Linked DNA regions of Nothobranchius furzeri. The protein of the gene in region 1 interacts with the protein of each later gene in a biochemical or structural test. Links are inferred from orthologs where the notes say so. Each region holds a gene or a part of one and is shown on either strand. Other genes may lie near its edges.

What was found. The genes of interacting proteins can lie anywhere in the genome.
Region 2: the proteins of arf2b (region 1) and pld2 form a complex in vitro, tested with the Homo sapiens proteins (2 studies listed by BioGRID). The link is inferred for Nothobranchius furzeri from reciprocal best matches to the Homo sapiens genes ARF1 and PLD2.
Region 3: the proteins of arf2b (region 1) and cyth2 are reported together in a solved structure, tested with the Homo sapiens proteins (3 studies listed by BioGRID and IntAct, with this or other methods). The link is inferred for Nothobranchius furzeri from reciprocal best matches to the Homo sapiens genes ARF1 and CYTH2.

The regions. Positions count from the first base shown.
Region 1 is NC_091756.1:54,222,241-54,229,590, forward strand, and holds the start of arf2b (ADP-ribosylation factor 2b), read left to right. Parts: upstream 1-2,186; 5' UTR 2,187-2,315; exon of another isoform or gene 2,316-2,349; intron 2,350-2,542; exon of another isoform or gene 2,543-2,587; intron 2,588-3,440; 5' UTR 3,441-3,450; coding exon 3,451-3,598; intron 3,599-4,539; coding exon 4,540-4,650; intron 4,651-7,350. UniProt on the Homo sapiens protein: Small GTPase involved in protein trafficking between different compartments. Modulates vesicle budding and uncoating within the Golgi complex. In its GTP-bound form, triggers the recruitment of coatomer proteins to the Golgi membrane.
Region 2 is NC_091750.1:48,070,305-48,077,922, reverse strand, and holds the start of pld2 (phospholipase D2), read left to right. Parts: upstream 1-3,265; 5' UTR 3,266-3,423; intron 3,424-7,618.
Region 3 is NC_091745.1:76,530,923-76,538,515, forward strand, and holds the start of cyth2 (cytohesin-2), read left to right. Parts: upstream 1-3,240; 5' UTR 3,241-3,374; coding exon 3,375-3,441; intron 3,442-4,454; coding exon 4,455-4,605; intron 4,606-4,810; coding exon 4,811-4,877; intron 4,878-4,954; coding exon 4,955-5,073; intron 5,074-5,152; coding exon 5,153-5,233; intron 5,234-5,460; coding exon 5,461-5,573; intron 5,574-6,153; coding exon 6,154-6,302; intron 6,303-6,382; coding exon 6,383-6,494; intron 6,495-7,059; coding exon 7,060-7,136; intron 7,137-7,593. UniProt on the Homo sapiens protein: Acts as a guanine-nucleotide exchange factor (GEF). Promotes guanine-nucleotide exchange on ARF1, ARF3 and ARF6. Activates ARF factors through replacement of GDP with GTP.

The sequences.
Region 1 (7,350 bases):
CAGGGTCACGGGGGGGGGGGGGGGGGGGGGGGGGGGGGGGCACTGGTGCCTACCTCCAGCGGTCAATGGCCAATCAGGCGGGGTACACCCTGGACAGAGAGCCAGTCCATCGCAGGGCAACACAGAGACACACACACCTAGGGACAGTTTAGACAGACCAATCAACCTAACAGTCATGTTTTTGGACTGTGGGAGGAAGCCGGAGTACCTGGCAAACTCCATGCAGAAAGACCCCAGGCTGGGAAGCGAACCCTGGACCTTCTTGCTGCAAGGCAACAGCTCTAACCACTGCTCCACTGCGCAGCCCTATTTATTACTCAATAAGAAAATCATTATCTAAAGGCCTTTGTGTTTTATAGATCCTTATTTTTGTCTCAGGCTTTCTATTTGTCAGAACATCCTATTGTGAATGTTTAAGCACTAGTACAGAAGTGAGTGACTTTGTAATTAAAGGTCTGTCTGTTAGAGTAATGTGAAGTTAACCATGTATGAACTCCAAGTTATGCAACCACTGTTCCCTGAAGAAGAGGAACGAGTGGTATATGGGACGTCACGCCACATGTGGCCTGGCTGAAGAAGGCAAATTACGCCAGGTTGTGGGCCTACCCAGGGTGGACTGGCCATCTGTGAGTTCTGGAGATATTCCAGGGTTGAATTTTCGTCCCAGTCAGCCCCTGGCTCCCCCCACCCCCAGATGAACCTTTAAAGTAGAGAAGGACAAACCCTTGTTCAGCAACTCCTGCAGAAACGTTAGCACATCCACAACAGAGCTCTACGAAGGAACCATGGTTCTGACCAGACTCCATTGCTCAAAATCCCTCCATTTATAAGCATAAAAGCCCGTATTAGAGTAAGCTCTCGAACTCTGAACTGTGGCTACCGCTGCTGGAGGAAGACCCCTAGCTAGTTTGAAGCTGCCATTCCCCCCCCCCCCCCCCCCCCCCCCAATAAAAAGCAAAATGCCATTTTAAGTTGTGGAAAGCAAAAGCTGTTTAGACCTAGAAACTATGACTGGTGTTCAGCAAGGGAACATGACCTAGGGATGAAAGCCAACAGGAGAGGTGAGAATAATTTAGCAGATTTGCCCATGCCACTTTAAAGATATGAGAAACGGAAGGAACCTGACCTTTTGACTGAGATTTTCATTTCCCGACTCCCATGGCAAGAGCAAATCTCGCTCAGAAAATCCTTCAACAGTATTTGGCCTGGAAAATTACTGTGGCCACCCTGAAACCAAGCCAGGTGTTGGGCCCGTGCGAATGCCTGATGGCTGGGCTTAGCATTCTGGTGTCATGGACTTGTCTACTTGTGGACCCACCACCTGCAAGAGGAGCATGATGGGTCTGTGTTGGCCAGACCGAGGTGGTAGCGCTAGCAGTTGGATCCTGAATGTTTGGAACATGGAATGACAAGGAAGGAGCTGGGACTTGTGGAAGAGATTGAGCAGTACTGGCTGGATATAGATGGACACGTTTCTACACAATAGCCTTAGCTCCTGGCGTTGAGCTCTCTTCATCACTGGAGAAAGGCGAAGACCCGATGCGGCTGGTGAACCTCAGACTGTCAACCTGTATGTTGAGGTTTACCCAAGAGAATGAAAGTTTCCTTATGTGCCCAAAAGCAGCTCAGAGTACCTACCCTTTCTGTGTTGAAAATGTCAGCTTGTTGTTTGCTGGCTCTCAAACAGAACAACAAAGAATCATTCATTCTTCCACTTACATGATTTGGACTATTTTTTGACATATATGAAATAAACATTGTACATACCGGTATTTCTCAAAGAATTTCCATTACAAGAAACTTACTAGGGTCTACTTACTAGGGTCTACTTACTAGGGTCTTCTAATGTCAGTTTGAGGTGTTTTATAGTATCTGTTGTGGAGACATTGTTTTTTACTTGATTTTGTTTTTGACATATTTAATTAGATATATGTTTATTACTGTGTAAAGGATTATTGGACTTAACCGTGTGAAATTATTGATGAAAGTTTAGCATTTATAAAAACCGGTATAACAGGTATATTTTGACTATATGTTACATTGGCCTGCCATAAACCTGATTAGAAACTTGAGGCCTGCCATACAACCTGATTAGAAACTTGACCAACTTGTCCGCCTCGCATCACTTCCTCGACATTTTGTGCACTTTTCACACGTCGATCCTCCGCCGCTGTGATTGCTTCGCCGATAGACGGGGGCGGGCTCTCACTTACACCATAGGCGCTATGATTGGCCATAACTTGATAGTGGGAAGCACTCGTAACGCCGGTGTCTCCCTGGTTGCGCAAGACGCCATTTTGGAGTGACAGTAAAAGGTAACGGAAAGATCGAGAAGCTGTGTCGTTAGAGGTAACAAACTTCAGAAACACGCTCATCTCTGTACCCTTAAATAGCCTAACGCGTGGTGGTTGTTACTATATTCAAATGACTCGGTTTGAGTGGCGTTTAACATTACGTGATGGTGTTCGCTTAGCAGTGACGCGGCAATTAGCTAATGGTAGCTAGCGCGCTACATCAGTTCCTGTAACTGGTGATCTAAGATCTGTTACGGCGATTTTTTTCAACGAGCTGAACATCAGTTCCACTGGTACTTGTCAATTATGTCAGCGTTACATTTCTTCATAATGTGTCGCTATGTGTTGTTTAAAACATTTGTTGGATGAATAGTTGTCCACAATCGGCTAGCTGAAGCATCCGCCCTTAGTGAAGCTAATAGCGCTTAGCTGAAGCTAACATCCAAAGCTACCCGTTGCGTTATAATTTGTAATACAGGATTTTTCTGTTATTATTTTTCTCTTAAACACTCATCAAACCTCTGTTAGATTAAGTTGGATTGGATGTCGAGCTGCTGTTTACTTTCACGCACAATAACACTTTGCCCAACCGGAGTTTCCCATCTGGAGCAGGCCTAATCAAGGGTTAGTTAGCTGTTAGGCTAATCCGGGTGAACGAGATGGTTGGATCAGGTGATCAAGTCTGATGAATTAAGATTAATTTTTCAGAGTTTTGTTTTCTTAAAAGTTAATTGAGGAACACATGGATTGAATATTTTAGTGTTTACCCAAAAGCTAAAACTCGAATATATTTAACGCGAACTCAACTTTTCTTTTTACCCTGACTCAGTTGAAAACGGTTCCTAGTTTCACCATTAACCTTTGTCTCCCAACTTCTATAGAACACATTTCTGTATGTACCTGTCATTTCCATATTGGCTGTATTGCCTTTTGTGAAATGCCTTCTGGAGTCTTTCTGTTTGACTTAAAACTTATGTTCCTAATGATGCTCCCTCTTCTGGTGCTGCAAAAAACTAACAGCCTTACATTTAAAGTGTTGTTTAGAATGTTGGATTGGATAATTAGATTTTATTTAAGATAAGTTTACTACATTTCATCCTTTTCTACCTATGTGTCACCCTGTTTAACAGTTTCCGTTTCTTACAGCTTTGTCACCATGGGGAATGTATTTGCAAGCTTATTCAAGGGCCTGTTTGGCAAAAAAGAGATGAGAATTCTGATGGTTGGGCTCGATGCTGCTGGGAAAACAACAATCTTGTATAAACTGAAGCTTGGAGAAATAGTCACCACCATTCCAACCATTGGTACGGATTTATTTATTCATGTCAGTAGTAGGGGTAGAGCATTATGTTGGGCTGTTATTTACCATTTTTATACATCAATAGATTTATATTTGTAAGGCCAATTTATAGTCAAGCACATCCTCTGGTAACATCTTTGTTCTTGCTGTGTAGTATTTCTAATTCCATGTTGTAGTTCTTTTTAAAACGCAGAGTAGTTTTGTGTTCCTGTTTTCCCGCTACGTTTCGTTTGCAGCTGCAAACTGCGTCGAAGTTTGCAGCCGCAAACGAAACGTAGCGGGAAAACAGGTAAACAAAACTACTCTGTGTTTAAAAAGAACTACAACATGGACAACCTCTGGTAGCTCGGTGCTGTTGCAGAATTTAATTTAAATGTATTTTTACATTTGCTGATAACATCAGCATAATATGTACTCTAAATTAACTTTATTTAGTTGTCTGACTTTAACACTGAACCATGCACAAAGTTGATATTTAACAGCTAGTTAAATTCAGTAAAATTAGATGGAAAATGTCTGGATATAGGCCATGAAAATGCCAATAAAAATCAGCAGTACGTGTCAGCTGTCGGCAGATCATGTCTCCTACATACTGGCATTGGTATCAGCAATAGAAAAACCATTATTGGTCAACCTCTTGTCAGTAGTGTTGGTTATTCTTCTTGTTGGAAGGCTGCTTATCTTCAGGCTTTTATGTTATAAGGATTATTTTTGTACCAAATATAATTTTAGATAATTGTGGACCAACTGATGAGTTAGAGTTTTTCAGAAGAATAACTGTCTTAAAATACCTGCACAGATTTTGGGTCATTTTTCTAATGTTCAACCTTCAGAGACGAATGTTAGCTCCTCAACCCTGTCTTGTCTGTACACACACTGTTGGTAAATTGTGAACACTTTTTAAAATTGTTGATGCCTCACCATCTTTCCTTCTCTGGTGTGCAGGCTTTAACGTTGAAACGGTAGAATACAAGAACATCAGCTTCACAGTTTGGGATGTGGGCGGTCAGGATAAAATCAGGCCGCTGTGGCGCCACTACTTCCAGAACACTCAAGGTGAGAGGGTGTACTATATTTCAGCTGGCTGTATGTTGCTGAGCATTACTGCCCATAGGTTGCTTCATTGGTGTGTGTATGAGTTTCAAACCAGTGACTCATGGAGCTTCATTCTGTTCTTGGCGTGAAGTGGGTCTCCTGTCCAGTGATGGCACTGATCAGAAAACAGCACTGTAGAGCAGAAATGCTTAGTTTTTCCTTCCAATTTTGTCAGCTGTGTGTGAGTGAGCTCTTTGTCTTGAGTGTAACGTTGAATATGTTGATGATGTCAAAAGTGTCACTTAAGAGAATGAGTTTCAAACAGATCGCAACGTTGAATTACAGCTCCGGTAATAATTTTATATGTAGACAGAAGATTTGGTCCTAATTCTGATTTCACCTGTTGAAAAGTTGCTGCTTGCTGCAGTCTTGTTAAGATAATAAATCGGAGGCAGGCTGTGGACGTGGCTGCCATGAAAAGACTGAGTCATGCATCTTTGTGTTTTTATCTGTTTTTGCTCTCAGCTGAAGGTCAACACAGCCAGCCAGCCGCTGGTACTTAAGCTGCATTAATGAGCTCCAGCTACTGTACAGGCCAAGCTTCCAATAAGACTTCCACTGGAGGGTTGAAATATTTGAACTCATTTTGAGGAAGTGTACAGGCCATGTAACATTTCCCAAACATAGTAACTAGGACAGGAAGTGATGTTGTCTAAGCTTGACAGAAACGTCAGCATCTGTGTAACACTTCTTACAATAATCAGAACTGTTTTTATTCATTTTTCCTCCCAACATAAAAACAGTTTAGCTGTATGTGTTTTGTCTTAATAGACTTTCTAGTACGTGATGTGATGTAACACACGTCTGTGCTGGGATAATCTGATACTGGGACTACATAGAGTCTGTGTTTAGGTTCACTCCCACCAGATCAGATTGTCTGTGATTAGGTTTGTTTACATTTAAAATCCTGAGATGTTTGGTTTTTAAAGAGCAAGTCACCCCTGCCAGAGTCTTACTCCACTCCCACTTCCTGTTTGAAAAATGCTGTTGCCTGGCAGACTGAAAGGGCGAAGCCGCTAACAAATACACACACACACACACGACACTGTGACCTCATAATGTACCAGCTGACATCATAGTATACTTCTTAGACTATAGCAATGGCAGATAAAATTTAAATGCAGTGCAGAGTTTTTACCTGACAACTGTGCAACAATGACAGTTTAGGCAGAATATTTAAATTTGAACTAAGATGCACTAAAGTGCCAAATTATTGACTGCATGCGTCTACAGCATGGTTAGACACTCATTTATATAGTTTATCGGCAAAAAAGAAGTGGATTTGGGGGTGACTTGCTCTTTAAAATCACATCCAGTTGAGGACGGAGTTAATTATGGGGCTGCAGCTATTGAATATTTAGTATTTGAATATTCTATTGAATCGTCCATCAATTCATTAAATATTTTAGTTGATGTTTCAAGTGAAATTAGATTGTAGGCTGCTGCTAAAATGATCCAAATAAAACAACAAAATGTAAAGGATCAGCAATACGAAATTGGTTTGTTTAGTTCCCTTGTTCCCAGCTGATTATATATTTCATTAAAACTTGAGGTTTATTATCACTCGTCCTAGTCTAAACCTATCTAAATTTATTCACATCTGATGAGCAGAAGTGAATTATTTCAGTAACATGTTCAGTAATAAGTTATTGGATATAATATTACATTTCTACTAGTAACAATGTAATGGTGGCATTAGCTTCTCGTGTGAAGTGTGATCTGTTATGTGCCATCTAATAATAAAGACAAGATGACAGCTTATCAAACAGCTTTTAATTAACTTTGTAACCTGTTAATACAAATGCTAGTCAGATGGAGGTACCTAAAAACCAAAAATAAATTGTACACCATAATGACTTGTGCTCACAAATGTATCCAGCTAAAATAGTCTTTATTTTTCTACTCAAGGCTCTTGTTCAGTCAGGAAAGTTAGCATTTAGACATGTTCTGAAGAAAGGCTTGCTCGTCTGAGAGCAGATGTTTCCAGCTGCAGAGAAGATGCGTTCCAATGAGGTGGAAGTGGCAGGAGTGCACAGAAAATATTTAGCCAGCTAAGCTTAGTGTGGATAAACAATCCTCGTTTTCACTCCATCTTCACTGGCGTGTTCTAATCTTCACTCGGGAAATGGCAGGACACACCTAGGTATGTCTCTGTTGAATGACTGGTCTACACATCAGCAGTCGGGGAGCAATTGACCGCTCTGAGGGTTTGCTTTACCTTAAAGGTAAAATATATAAAAGTTATTTTATTTACCAAAGTAATAAATCTGTTATGTCAAATAGGACTGCACAATATCGTACAAAAGTGTGATCTCAGTTCATACTTGTATGCAATTTCATTTCCAAATGATAACGATTTTAAGCAGCTGGCTGGATAAGAAAAGGATTATGTTCTGTTGTGGTCCTGCAATGGTCAACAATTATGTTGTCATGTTAAATGTTATATTTTGTTAATAAATGTGGTTTACATTTTACGAAACAAACCACCTACCTCTCATCGCCTTACAAGCAGAGAGAACATTGTTCAAAGTTTGTAATGTTTAAATAATTCAAAAGTTATGTATGTAAGAGACGAGAGACATTTGTTTTCATGTTCAGTGACAGCTGTTATGAAGTTGATGTGCAGGTAATAAGTGCAATAAATATTTATTTTGGAAAAAA
Region 2 (7,618 bases), on another chromosome or scaffold:
TCGGGGGCAGAAGTTGTTGAGGTAGTCAAACAACTACACAGCGGCGGAGCCCCGGGGGCTGATGAGGTTCGTCCTGAGTATCTCAAGGCAATGGATGTTGTAGGGCTGTCATGGTTGACACGTCTCTGCAACATTGCGTGGTCATCGGGGGCAGTTCCTGTGGAGTGGCAGACCGGGGTGGTGGTCCCCATCTTTAAGAAGGGTGACCTGAGGTTGTGTTCCGACTATAGGGGGATCACACTCCTCAGCCTCCCTGGAAAGGTCTACTCCAAGGTACTGGAGAGGAGGGTCCGATCGATAGTTGAATCTCAGGTTGAGGAGGAGCAATGTGGTTTTCGTCCTGGCCGTGGAACTGTGGACCAGCTCTATACCCTTGCAAAGGTGGGAATTTGCCCAACCAATCCACGTGTGTTTTGTGGATTTGGAGAAGGCTTATGACCGTGTCCCCAGGGGCACCCTGTGGGGGTTCGCTCCAGTAGTATGGGGTGGGTGGCTTTCTGTTAATGGCCATTCAGTCCCTTTACCAGAGGAGCGTGAGTTTGGTCCGAATAGCCGGTAGTAAGTGGGACCTGTTCCCAGTGAGGGTTGGACTCCGCCAAGGCTGCCCTTTGTCACCGGTTCTGTTCATTACCTTTATAGACAGAATTTCTAGGTGCAGCCGTGGTGTGGAGTGTGTCAAGTTTGGTGGCAGGAGAATCTCGTCTTTGCTTTTTGTGGATGATGTGGTCCTCCTAGCTTCATCCAGTTCTGACCTTCAGCTCTTGCTGGGTAGGTTCGCGGCTGAGTGACAAGCGGCTGGGATGAGGATCAGCACCTCTACATCTGAGACCATGGTTCTCGACCGGAAAAGGGTGGCTTGCCAACTCCGGGTCGGGGGAGAGGTCCTACCTCAAGTGGAGGAGTGTAAGTATCTCGTGGTCTTGATCACGAGTGAGGGTAGGAGGGATCGGGAGATCGACAAGCGGATTGGTTCAGCATCTGCAGTGATGCGGATGCTAAGCCGATCTGTCATGGCGAAAAGGGACCTGAGCCAGAAAGCCAGGCTCTTGATTTACCGGTCGATCTACGTCCCAATCCTCACCTGTGGTCATGAGCTTTGGGTAATGACCAAAAGAATAAGATTGTGGATACAAGCGGCCAAAATGAGTTTCCTCCGTAGGGTGGCTGGGCTCAGCCTTAGAGATCAGGTGAGGAGCTCGGACATTCGGGAGAGACTCGGAGTAGAACCGCTGCTCATCCGGATTGAAAGGAGCCAGTTGAGGTGGTTTGGGCATCTGGTCAGGATGCCTCCTGGACGCCTCCCCGGGGAGGTGTTTCGGGCATGTCCTGCCGGCAGGAGGCCCCCGGGTCAACCTAGGACACGTTGGAGAGGTTACATCTCCAATCTGGTCCGGGAACGCCTTGGGGTCCTGCTGGAGGAGCTGGTGGAGAAAGCCTGGGAGAGGACGGTCTGGAGCTCCCTAGTTGGGATGCTGCCCACGCGACCCGGACCCGGATAAGTGGAGGAAGACGACGACGAAGAAGAATCTGAAAATCTCGATGTTTGGTGTCTAGAAATGCTGTTTGTTAAATGGCAATGCTAAGTTGAACCGTCTAGATGGGGGGAAAAAACACGTGTTCTGTGCATTTGTCGCCATCTTGTGTTACTTTAGTGGTATTACAAAATGTCTTTAAAAAATTAAATTATTTTAAATCAAATGACAGATTACAAGTAAACAAACAAAGTTCATTTCCACAAAGAACAAAGAGTAAAAACTGCATTTATATTCTGTTTCTGGTTACAGTTGTTGTATTTGGTTTTAATTTTAATTATTTGAATAGTTTATACATTCCAGTCCAATCCTGTAAAAAAATAAAAATGTAATTAAAAGCAAATCGTTACATCTGAATGAAGGTCTGTTTGTGCTCAGACACATGAAAAGAGAGTTGCAGTAGTCATGAGCATGAGGAGATGAAGGTGTGGATCACAATCTCAAGTTCAGAGCGGGACAGAATGGGACTCAGCTTAGCAATGTTCCTGAGATGGAAGAAGGAAGAGCGAACAAGAGAACTGACATGAGAATCCAGGGTGAGAGCTGGGTCAAAGGTCATGCCAAGATTCCTGACAGAAGGTATGTTGTGAGAAGCAAGCTGACCAAGAGAGTCTCTGATTTTGGGAACCAGCTTGTCTGGGGCACAGATGAGGATCTCAGTCTTACCTTCATTCAGCTGAAGAAAGCTCCCAGCCATCCAGGTTTTAATAGAGTATAAGCAGGAGTGTTACAGCTGCAGCTTAGACATCTCATGGGGCTTAAAGGAGATGTACAGTTGGCTGTCATCTGCGTAAAGATGGTAGGAGATTCCTTTGAAGGAGCTCAGGATGTGCTGAAGAGGAAGCAGATAGAGGGGGAAGATTAGAGGCTCCAGCACAGATCCTTGTGGGACTCCATGGATGAGGAAGGTGGTAGAGGACCAAAACTTGGAAACCTTTGTGTTACCCCTGCTAATTCTTCCTCACTACCTTATTTTTATGCAATCTCTATCAATTTTGCCTTTCCTGGGATGACCTTTTATTTTTATCCTATGCATTTTTGTCCTCCTTCTCATTTTTCCATTTAAAAGTTTAAATATCCCTCTTTTTAATTCAATTCAATTCAATTCAAGTTTATTTATATAGCACCAAATCACAGCAAGAGTCATCTCAAGGCACTTCACATAGTAAACATTCCAATACAGGTCAGTCAGTTCATTAAGCCAATCAATAAAAAGTTTCCTATATAAGGAACCCAGCAAACTGCATGAAGTCACTGACTTTTTAAATTATATTAATTGTGATATTTAGTGGAAATTACATGTAATATTATGCTTGTTCTGCCCCCTTGGCACCCGGATCATTACGTTCACTCCTAATTTTTTTTTACAAAAACGTGTGATGCTGCTCATGAGTTTTATTTTGAGAAAATAACACAGGAACCGTAATACCATAACACGTTTTAAACCGCACCTGAAAATCCATTTCGACTTATATTTTGAAAGTATTAACAGGAAGTGCCGTAATACTTTAATAGTTGCAACTAAAAACTCTATAGTTGGAGCGATAGCGGCGCCGATGAATTGTTTTATGTGCTACTGCATTCCTACACGTCTGCTCTCGCTGTCTGCGGTTCTGGGCCACGTCCTGTGTTCATGTCAGACCTGACAGGCGCTCCAACTTCCCATGTGAAGTTTTTTTTTTTTTTTTTTTTTTTTTTTTGTCGACTGTGCTACATTTTAGCCAATGGGAGGGACTAAAGAATGCATCACCCACGGGCGACAGTACCGATGAACTATTCTGGTGGCGTTAACCTGGAATACGATAAATTTCCTCCCGGATAAGTAATTAGTTCCCCCGTCCCGCGTGCGGAATAAATGATTGTCCCGAGCTGAAGCTGCAGCTGAACTCCTGTGAGTATAATTATTGTATAAGTGGACATTTTCTCCTCGTTTTTGCCTCGTAGGAAACTGGGTGGAGACGAGAAATTCGCTCTTCCCATGTTTAGCTTGCATTTGATGGATAACATCATTAGTTTAGCAGCTGTGTAAATAACGTTTTGTAGATCTGTGTGTGAGTTTTACACACTTGTGACAGAGCTTGTGCACTTTATAATTATGTATATAAAAAATATTCAATCACTTCTCTCACGTTCAAAGCTTTTCCTCACGATATGTATTATAAAGTGCTTTGTAAAACGTTTAATCTTCCAAAGACAGAGTTATAACAGAATGGTGAGAGGTATATTAGACTCAAAAAACAACCCTTGTGGTACCATGAGATGACTCATGGTATATTTACATTTCCTGTTATTACCTTTTATGCTTGGTGACTTTATTCTGCTCAAGGTGAAGACTTCCTTTCATTTGTAGCACAACTGATTGTTAAAGAGCAAGTCACCCCCTACCAGAGAATTACTTTGCTCCCACTTCCTGTTTGGAAAATGCAACAAATGCTGTTGCCTAGCAGACCGAGAGCGAAGCCACTAACAAATACTCACACTAGAGGTGCGAATCTTCACTTGTCTCCCGATTCGATTACGATTATTGGGTCAACCATTCAATTCGATTCGATATCCAGATGCATCACGATTATTTCATATTGATTTGTTTTCATCGATAAATAGAATATGTCAGACAATTGCTTTTTTATTTTTTCCAACAGAACCGGTCGGGCTGATTCGGTTCTGGTTCGGTCTCGGGTTACAACTCTAGCGCTCAGCTCTGCAGTACCACATTAAGGCAGAACTACTTGGTAAATGTGGAGGACACTCACTCTGACAGATTTGGATGCTGCGCTGGTGCTGCCATTAAAAAAACAAAACTACATTCCACTATAATCGATTATGGCCTACTCTTCTACGATGCAGAATCGTTGATGTCCGCATCCCAATGCATCAATTGTTTGATTATTTTCCTCAGCTCTAACACACACACAGGCTCACAAAGACACAGTGACATCATATGGTACCAGCTAACATTCTAGGGTACCTCTTAGCCAATAGCGATGGCAGATTTAAATTCAACTGCAGTGCAGAGTTTTTACCTGACAACGGCACAACACTGACAGTTTTAGGCCAAAAATATGAATTTGAACAAAACTGCACTAAAGTGCAAAACTATTGACTACACGTGTCTGCAGCACGATTAGACACACATTGATATAGTTTATCAGAAAAAAATGTTGATTTGGGGGTGACTTGCTCTTTAAATATTGTTTTCTGTGCGCACCTGCATTTTTTTAATAGAAACAACAACCTCACTTGTCTTTGAAGAGTTAAAGGTCAGTCTTGTGCTGTCAGAGCTGCTCTTTCACTTGTTGCCCCACCCAGGTGTCATGCAGGCTGCAGGATGTCAGCATAGTCAGAGATTTAGTTAGTGGGAAATTGTTCTTAGAGCCGGTCTGCTTTATTTTCATGCAGCAAAGAGAGAAGAGTTCTTCTCATTTTTCAGAAATATGTATATTTTTATTGAAATTGACTTCTATTGGAGAACAGCTTCTGTAATCAGCTTTTCCTTTTGATAAAATCTTGAAAGTCACAAAAAAAATGCTTTAACTTTCTAAACACTTTTGCTTTCTGCTTTTTGCACTTTTTCCAACAGATCCCGTGAAGTGTGTGTATGATGCAAATTCACATTTATGATTCTGGGAATGATTGGCGTGGCTTTTCTTTTAAATTCCATTTTAGCCCATCTTGTTGTGTTGTAAACAACACAACAAGAATTTGTCCCGGATGTAATTTGAGTAAGTGGAAGGCACTTTACTAAAGAGAGAAATCTTTAGTCCACTCTAGACTTTAAACATGCATGTTTGGAAAATTCTGTGTTTACCTCACAGCATGAGCCAATCCAGGGTTTTATGCAAACTTGGAAACAAGTAAGAGCAAGACTGTGTGATGAAGAGAAAAGGTGCTGCTAGTGTTGACATTCAGCAGAGCAAAATAATTCTGAACCTTAAATTTCTGAATGGAAAAACAGAACAAGATTTTGTTTTAGAATACTACAAAAGTGTGGGAAACTTTTACAAATGTTTCTATAAAAGTAAAATGTTAGTTATCATTATTATTTTTTTATCAAGGTGATTTCTTATCCTAAAAGAAGCAGGATTTTAATATATCATGATAATTCTTACTAATTCATTTGCACGTCTCAGATTTCACATATGTGTTGAAAGCTGGGTGCAAGTGTGATAACAGATGCGTGGTTCAGGGATTTAGTTTTAGTTTAGCTAGTTTAGTTTTACATTTTGTTACGAAGACCAGAGTTTAAACAAAAATAGCCGATCTTCACAGTCCCATGCAGCTGGAAAACATTGCTTTATCAGCCATAGGGTGATGAGGAAAAATGAGGGATTTTGATGAATCTCTGCAATACAAAGATAAGTGGCATATTTCAAAAATGCACCTTTGTTTTCATCAGTCTTTGTATTCTTTCGCACAATAACAGATAATGTTCCTAATCAGAATTCACACTCACTTCCTGTTTGCTAATCAGCCTCCTGTGTGTTAGTAAGTGTGTAATATCTGAACTAGTTGTAAATCAGACAAAATCCCATAAAGCCTTCATGTTTAACAAGAGTTGGTTCTGCTTTATATTATTCTCATTTAGTTTTCTCTTCCTCTTTTAGCTCTTCACACACGTCAAACACACACACACACACACACGCACGCACGCACGCACGCACGCACGCACACACACACACACACACACTCCTCCCTTCCCATGTCCTCGTCTCCCAGAAAACACTCAGCTATTCTCTCTCTCTCACACACACACACACACACACACACACACACACACACACACACACACACACACACACACACACACACACACACACACACACACACACACACACACACACACACACACACACCACAAAAAGCTTCACACACACCCTGTTTTCTAGCTGCATTCTTAATGCCTTCTAAGTAATGACAAAGATGTGTTATGTTTTGTGTTTTAGATGGAAAATTGATAAAATCTTATCCTGATTTCTGTTTTATTTAGCTGTTCATCCTGTCAGATATATTTAGTCTTCAGATTCCATCACCTGATTGTTTTAAAAGGAACCCAGGTTACAAAACCTTGTGGCTCTTAAAAGATAAATGTTAGTATCAGTTAAATTAAAACGACGATGTTTCACAAAACAAGCGTCAAAATGAAGAGCAAGAAGGGCGGGATGAAGCGAGAGCAGGACAAAACCAGTGGTGCGTGTGCGGCAAATGTGTTTCCATAGTAACCGAGAGGGAGAGTGTTTGTTGACAAGAGCTCAAATTTTTGTCAGCAGAAGTTAACGGTAAGCTATCGTGTGATCAAACTTATTCAATTATGAATGATTTTGTAGAATATTAGCATCCATAGCTGTCGTGTGCTTTATAGATGATTAGGATATTCAGTGAAATGACTTTAACCATTTTTGCAGATATTACATATTTGTAGAACACAGTATTGCTACACTTACTGCTTGTTTTACTGACGGGAGAGGTGAATGTTCAGCTTCATCCGTGTTAGTCATAGGGTCGGGGGGGGGGGGGGGCTCTATGTTTATTAAATACCTTCTTGAGAGTCATGGTACTCTGTGGGAACCTTAGATAGGTCAGGGAATGCTTCTTGAATCTCTGCTGTAATGATTTCATGGGTTTCAGCCAAGCCCCCACAATGCGGCTCCAAAATTGGGCCCAACCCGGAAGTACCAAAATTGCAGTTCCACCCTCATCCGCTGGGAGCTGGTGTTAGAAGCGAGCAAATCCTCATTGACTCCCATGTTAAAAATACCAATTTCACAGCAGAAATAAACATGTTTGCAGCCTGGTAACAGAACATGTTTTTTGTTTAAATGATCTAGTTTACACTCATGACAACTCTGAGGGGGGTGGATTTTTTTCTCACTCTTCTGTTTAAGTGTATTAAAAGCCTAAAATTCTGTATAATTAATGAGCATCAGACCCATCTGACCACAGAGCTAGCTCCGTGGAAAGGCCTCAGTAGAGCCTCGGGCTGGCTTGGAAACTGTTCCGGGATTTTGAGTCTCTGTGTTTGTGTATTCTTGTTTGGATATTTTTTATGCAATTGTTGGACAAAATGACTTGCTGTGGCATTAATTGCA
Region 3 (7,593 bases), on another chromosome or scaffold:
GCACTAGCATTGTTTTAGTGAAGAAATAAATTATTGCTTTTATTTATTGCTGTAATTTGAACACAAATGTAGAAAGTTAGAGTTTACAGACAGACATAATACATTTTTAAAAACGACAAGACTAAAATAAGGCAGCGCTGTTTTCTTAGATCGGCTTTAACTAAGATGGAAGACAAACGAACAACTTGCACTGTGATTAATCAGCTGCAAAGCCAGCCCGCTGAACTCACACTGAAGCCTGTTGAGAACAGTAATACTTCCAAAAGTAGCATTCAATCAGATATGATATTTTGGAGGGTGACGTACTGTTTAAACATTAATTTTGTTATCGTCAAACCTGCTGAAACACTCAACCTCCGCTAAATCATTAGCATGTGTAATGTAGGAATCGGTAAAATCACCTGCCAACTGCTTGGATCACCATCAGCATACCGTATTTGTCAAATCGATGCCTTTGTGTAATAAGCCTGTAAATTCCGGCTGCTAATGATGAACTGTTTAAACCCGACCGCAACGAATGGAGTTAAAAAAAAAAAGATTTGTTTCTGCCTTGTTTCCCTTTTTGAGTGCACAATACAACTAATCTACCAACGCTGCTTTGAGCTTACACAGCTACCAATGCTAGTACACTTTGAGGCTAAGCTTGTAATATTACTAAAACAGAAAATGATACATACACTTTGGGCGAAAAGTTGTTGCCAAAATGTTTACTCTTGGTGTTGAAGAGCCTAGTCATGACCGTTTACTTTCCTAGACCAGCGTCGTCAGTGGCCAGAGCCGGGACCATGGTGTTGTAGACCAATTTGCTATGACGGTGTCCAGTTGAAAATGCTATGAATTTGTCTGTAGTAAACTACCTGTAATCAAATGGTAATTATTACTAAATCAATGAAATGTATACAAATGCAGTGTACCAATTATAGTTATCTGTTTGCAAATAAATGTAACTTCATACATTTGTCTTGTGTAAAATCATTTGTCTTTCTAACGTGTCTCTGAAAAAGATTAGAGTATTTTTGCTTTAGATTTTACTTTAAAGGTCTCTTACCTCAATCTTATTTATCTAAGATGAAATATTCACTCCATCTGAAACGTGTACTAACTGCTTTTACTAGGGATGCCCAGATCTGATCGCGTGATTGGAAATTGGTCCTGATCGGTCAGAACTGGACAGTACCTCCCGATCCAGACTCGGGATACATATAATTTATTTATTTTTTTAACAATTTAACACAGACTTGGACCTCTTGACTCCACACTGAAACAGCAACCTGTGCGGCATGACATCTCTTTGTTGGTTAAACGCTGGCAAAGTGGAACATGGAAGTAGAAAAGCGCAAGTATGTAGAAGAAGAAGAAAATATCATTTCTATAGCGCCTCTCGATCAAAATCACGAGGCGCTTCACAAAAACAAAACATGTAAAAATATAAAAAAGCATTTAGAAAATGTTTAAAAATATATTAAAATGAGCAAAAATAGGCAATTGTGATTAAAAAAGTTAAGAAAGAGAGAGAGTAAACAGGAAAGAGGGAAATCGGTGGGTCCTGAGGAAGGTGGAATAGGTGGGGAGAGCAGAATAAAGAGAGAGAGGTGAAGAAGGTCATACAAAAGCCAGCTTGAACAGGTGAGTCTTCAGCTGCTTTTTAAAGGAGACCACTGAGTCCACTGATCTCAGGCTCAGGGGGAGAGAGGTCCAGAGTCTGGGGGCCACAGCAGCAAATGATCTGTCACCTTTGACCTTTAGCCTGGTGCTGCACAACCAGTAGGCTTTGGTCACTGGACCTGAGGGACCTGCTGGGGGTGTAGGGACTAAGAAGATCACCAATGTAAGATGGTGCTTGTCCATGTAAGGCCCTATAGACCAGAACCAGGATCTTGAAATGAACCCTGAAGTTGACTGGCAGCCAGTGAAGCTGGATGTATGCAGTCTTGGGAGGTAAAAAGTTGATGACAACATTAAACTGAAGTCCAAAAGTGAAGAATTTTGGTATTTATTACTTGATTGTTCAAGAAGTGCTCTGTTTGTTACTAGAGGAACATCCTGGATCTGTTTCTTTGCTCGTTTTCATTATTTTTTAAATGTATGATAGAAGTTTTGGATCAGGACTTGGTATCGGTTGATGCTCAAAATTAAATGACTCAGTCTCGAGAGCAAAAGAACCTGATCAGGTCAGCCCTAGTTTGGACATGGATATTTTACCAAACTGACAAATCAAATGCCTGGCTTGGATTGTGTTAAAAGTGCAGTATGTAGGGATACAGTGAGAAAATACCAAAAGTGTGTTGTCATTTTGCAAGGAAAGTTTTACTGGAACATATTTCACATCCAGCTGGCTGTTGGATTGTCAGTTTTTCTCCTTTCAAAACAAAGGAAGGAGTGACGTAACTGCTGTTTACCATCAGTGAGTGTGGGGTCGCCATGTCTCCCGTGAGTTAATATTGCAGTGCCAACTATTATAATTTGATGACGGTCAGCAAAAAGCTCCAGTTGTTTAAAGTGGTTGCAGTAACCACATTTTACCACAGGATATACTTTTTACTTCATTTCTACATAATGCACCTTTAAGACAAACTTAAAATAAACCCTCAGTTCTTCACTTCATTGGTGATTTTGGTTTGGGTTGTAAAAGCAACTAAAAAGTTGGATACAACAGTCTGGACTGAACTTGCATTAGGTTGCTCCTCTGATACAATCAAATGTACTAAAGAGTTTCTATACTATGAATTAGACTCTTCATACCAAAAGGTGATTAGCCAAATTGCAAGATTAATTTTCATTTTGTAGGCCAAATGGGTGTTACTGATACAAAGCAAATTGTCATATTGGGTAATAATGGGCTTTATATACAATCTGAAATATAATTTGAGATCAAGCTGGCACCATATCAGCGATCAACTCAACTATTGCTATTAGCCTAGTCTGGAGCAAAATGCAAAGAACAAACTTCAGTGATGAGTGTTTTAGTGAAACCAAATCAGAGTTTAAAATGAAGTTAAACCAGAATAATAGGAAACCCCCCTGCCTAATCTCCTTTCTTTTAGATTTCTCATGTTAACAGAAAAATCACTGGACCCACACGGAAACTGGAGTATATTTTATACAAAATTGTAATTTATAATTAATGAGGGATAGTAATAAATGGTTAAGTCTTAAACATTCAACTTTGTATTTTTTGTATATTGTGCATTATGCTAAAGTGAATTTTGTTGTTTTATTTTGAAAGTTGACTGACCGGAAGTCGATCGACACCGCTTCCGGTGTCGCCACCTTCTTTGTCTACGGCCCAGGATTTCAACACCAGGGGATGTCAATTTTTTCCTTTTAGTTCTGTGGATATATTTCCTAATATATCCCCAATTTTCTGACATTTAATGACAGTCGACTCTGAACTATTTATGCCTAAAAATAAAGCGCCAAAAATGGATGACCTGGACTACAGTAAGTGGGCTTACTGAGTCGGTCTTTTCGGAACGCCGCCGTAGCTAACTGGCTAGCTGTGTCGCTTTTGGTTGACTTTATATTTGCTCCGTTAGACTAACTTCTCCCGGTGATCATACCAGTCGTCTTTTTTGTTCTCTATAAAAACGTGTGTACGTATTTAGCATGTATGTAGAAATAAGCCGCAACTGCATATTGTTTTTGCTAATTAACTATTGATTCTGTCGGTGTTTGTTCTTGGCTAACTTTACAGCTAACCTCGGTGGACATGATTTACGCATCAAACTGCATATAAAGGTCTTATAAGCGATTAATTATAACATAAAAGCCTCTAAAGTCTCGTAAGTAATAAACATTTAGGTATGTAGAAAAATGTATGCTTTGGGTGTGGCATTTTATTGTTTTGGGGGGTTACAATGGTTTGGGGATTTTAAAAATATCCACCAAGAGCTTACATTTTCTACGTGGTTTGAATTGATTAGTTTAAAGGCGAAATGTTAACAGAAAATTAACTACCCGTTTCTAGCATCACTACAATGTTTAGTTGAGAGAGTTGCTGTTGGTTTCTGCTGTAATATTGTTGGTCCAGTTGAAAGCTGCAGGTGGTGGTGCTGTTGAATTTCATTGAATTGCACTTCCAAATGTCTTCAATGGACATCAGGCTGTGTCATTAAATCACACCCACCTTCAGCAGGACAAAAATAATTCTAGTTGTTTAATGACAAAATACACATTGTAAGGTGTTGGTGCTTTCAAATATAAAATTATTGGGAAATTTACCAACTTGCACCAGTTTTACTTCAAATGAAAACCACGCAGCTAGCAAGGAAATGCTGAGTTCTTTCAGGCTTTTCATGTGCAATTCATAATTTTAGTATTTTTAATTAGTTTTAATAAAACAAACATTTTCTCCCACTAGTGGAGATTGCTTTTGACCTAGATTCTTTGGGCACAGCTAACGTTTTGTTGGTTCTGCAGCACCAATGCTGTCATTCTCTTGTCTTCCCCTGCAGTCCCAGTAGACCTGAGCCCAGAGGAGCGCTCTGAGCTGGAGGACATTCGTAGGAGGAAGGGCGTCCTGCTGCAGGAGATCCAGAGGCTCAGGGAGGAGTTGAGGGAGGCTATTTTAGAAGTGGAGGGACTAGAGAGCAGCACAGAGGGCAGGTAAAGAAATTCTTATTTACTATAAATCAAAGAAATAGCATTGCAGCTTTTGACCTAAATCAACACAATATGCACAGATTTTTAAACTTGTGTGTTAGTTTTTCATGTTTCTATTAGTATTTATTGTGTTTTTGTTTCCAATAACTTGTTGGTGTCTTAAAAGAAGTATGCGGTTTAATTGAGTTAACTTGTGTTGTTTCTGCAGTAAAACTCTTCAAAAAAGTCGGCACGTAGCGATGGGAAGGAAGAAATTCAACATGGACCCTAAAAAGGTAACACTGTCCTTTAGATTTGCTGATTTTGATATTTTTCTGGGATTGCTCTTTTCATTTATGGACTATTTCTGCAGGGTATTACGTTTTTGGTAGAGAATGAGCTGCTCAGACACACACCAGAAGACATCGCTCAGTTCTTGTACAAAGGAGAAGGCCTCAACAAGACTGCCATAGGAGACTACCTGGGAGAGAGGTGGGAGGTGTTGAAGTGTCTTTTGTTCCTGTCGTCTCTTTCATGCAGCCGTTTGTAACTGTGGTCTGTTTTGCTGCAGAGATGACTTCAACATCAAAGTGCTTCAAGCTTTTGTCGACCTCCACGAGTTCACAGATCTCAACCTCGTCCAGGCTCTCAGGTGAACTGCATCCACTTCTGTTGGTTCTGCATTATATGAAGCTATTAACATGTAATCGGGGATTCTCTAGTGGACAAACATGCCCAACAATGGAACCCCCCCCCCCCTTCTCTCAGATTGGGTTGGAACAACATTATGCAACAAGTCAAAACTGACTATGTAACTCTGCCTTAGTGGCTGAATTTGATCTCTTAGGCTTGACCCGAACCCTGTCCTGTTTTCTACAGACAGTTCCTGTGGAGCTTCCGTTTGCCTGGTGAAGCACAGAAAATCGACAGAATGATGGAGGCCTTTGCTCAGAGATATTGTCACTGCAACCCCGGCGTCTTCCAGAGCACCGGTAATCACAAAACAAACCGTTTTTCTCGTAGGGCTAGTAGTAATGCCATTTTTAACCAGCATGAATCTTATTTTAAAATATTTTTTGCACCTTTAGATGTGTTTTGTTTTGAGCTGGCCCTTTTACACCACATTTCTGCCTTACGGTGCTCTTTTCTTATTTATTTTTTATGAGTTCTGTGTTTGTTCAAGCGAAGCCAAAGTGACTAAAGGTATTTTTGCCAAAGGTCGGCCCTCACATAATCTGCCCCTGACCAGAAAGCATTCCCTCTTAACATTTATACACACCTTTCATTAAAGGCAGTTAGTGTTGTTTTTCATTGTTTCCGTCAATTGTTCTGTAATGTTTTACATGTAGTCAGGTTTCCCTTTGCTTCAGGCACAATAAGCTCAGCAGGATTAACACGTTGCAACATAAGTCCACATATCTGTACTGCAGGCTGGGATGATGGAAGAGAAATTGTTCAGCCAGTTCCAAACATCCACTTAGAGCAGAAAATATGCAAACATAACCCATGCTCTGCTGTAAAGTGTGTTTCTGTTGACTCTCTTAGTTCTTCTCTTTCCTCTCCTGTTTGCAGACACGTGTTATGTGCTTTCGTTTGCTATAATAATGTTGAACACAAGCCTCCATAACCCAAATGTGAGGGACAAACCTGGACTGGACCGTTTCATCTCAATGAACCGAGGCATCAATGAGGGGGGGGACCTGCCCGAGGAGCTGCTCAGAGTACGAGTCACTGGATGCCCCGTTAGAATATTTATGAGCTTGTTTATTTATTTGTTTATTTGTCTTGTTTGGTTTTCCAGAATCTGTATGAAAGCATTAAAAACGAGCCCTTTAAGATCCCAGAGGACGACGGGAACGACCTGACGCACACGTTCTTCAACCCAGACAGGGAGGGCTGGCTTCTCAAACTCGGTATTTTGACCCTGATCTCGTGTAATCTGTAGCTGAGGAGCTCGGTGTGTGATGCCGGTATCAGGACAAAGTGTTACATTCTGTACTTTCACCTCTCTGTGTTGTGATGACCTTGTCCTCCTGTCTCTGAGGCTCGTCGCCTCTTTGTCTCCACCTGAATCATCGCCTCACACCGTGGCAGTGTTTAAACATCTCCATGGTGTGTTGGTGAAAGACGCGCTCACTCCTGTGTGCCGTGGCAGTTTGGACATCTGTTTGTTTTCTTTTTGCATGACGGCGACCTGTGATCAACGTGTCACTAATACGATCTCCGTCCCCTCTTCTACCTCCCTTCTAAATCCTCCGGTTTCTTTTTGTCTCTGCTTCTTCCCTGAAATTTCCACCCTCTACTGCCGCTGCTTGTTTTCTCAGGAGGTATGTACTGAAGAGCGTCCAAAAAGTTGTAGAAGTATTAGTAGGTCGTAGTTAGAATACAGAATTCGTAGCTTGGTAGAGTAAAAGTTCAAATCCTTTTTTTTTTCTTTTAACTTCCATCTCTTATTGTCCTGTTGTGACTTTTTCCCAGGAGGACGAGTGAAAACCTGGAAACGTCGATGGTTCATTCTTACCGATAATTGCCTTTATTACTTTGAATACACCACAGTAAGTATTTAATGCAACAACCATAAGAAGTATTTTATTATGTTTAGAATTTAAACTGAGTAGTTGTTTCAGATTAGCCTGGCAAGCCATCCTATATATGTAAATATGTAGTCCGACCCATTGAAACAACCCGGTCGTGGGGCAGAATCGAAGGTTGTCTTTCTAACAGTCTGCGCACGTAATCGGATAGCGCCAGGACCAATCAGCAACAAATAATGTGACGTGTTATTTGCTATGTACATCAGTCAACGGGGCAGTCTGACACACACCTCTGTCTGCTCATGATTCCCAAGAAAAGCCCAAGTCTAAATCATCCACAGGGTATCCGCGGGTCCTTAAAAAGTCTTAAAAAGTCTTAAATTTGCTTTTCCAAATTTAAGGCCTTAAAAATCCTTAAAAATGACAAACAATCCTTAAATACAGTTTCCAACGGTCTTAAATGTCCAAAGACCCAATA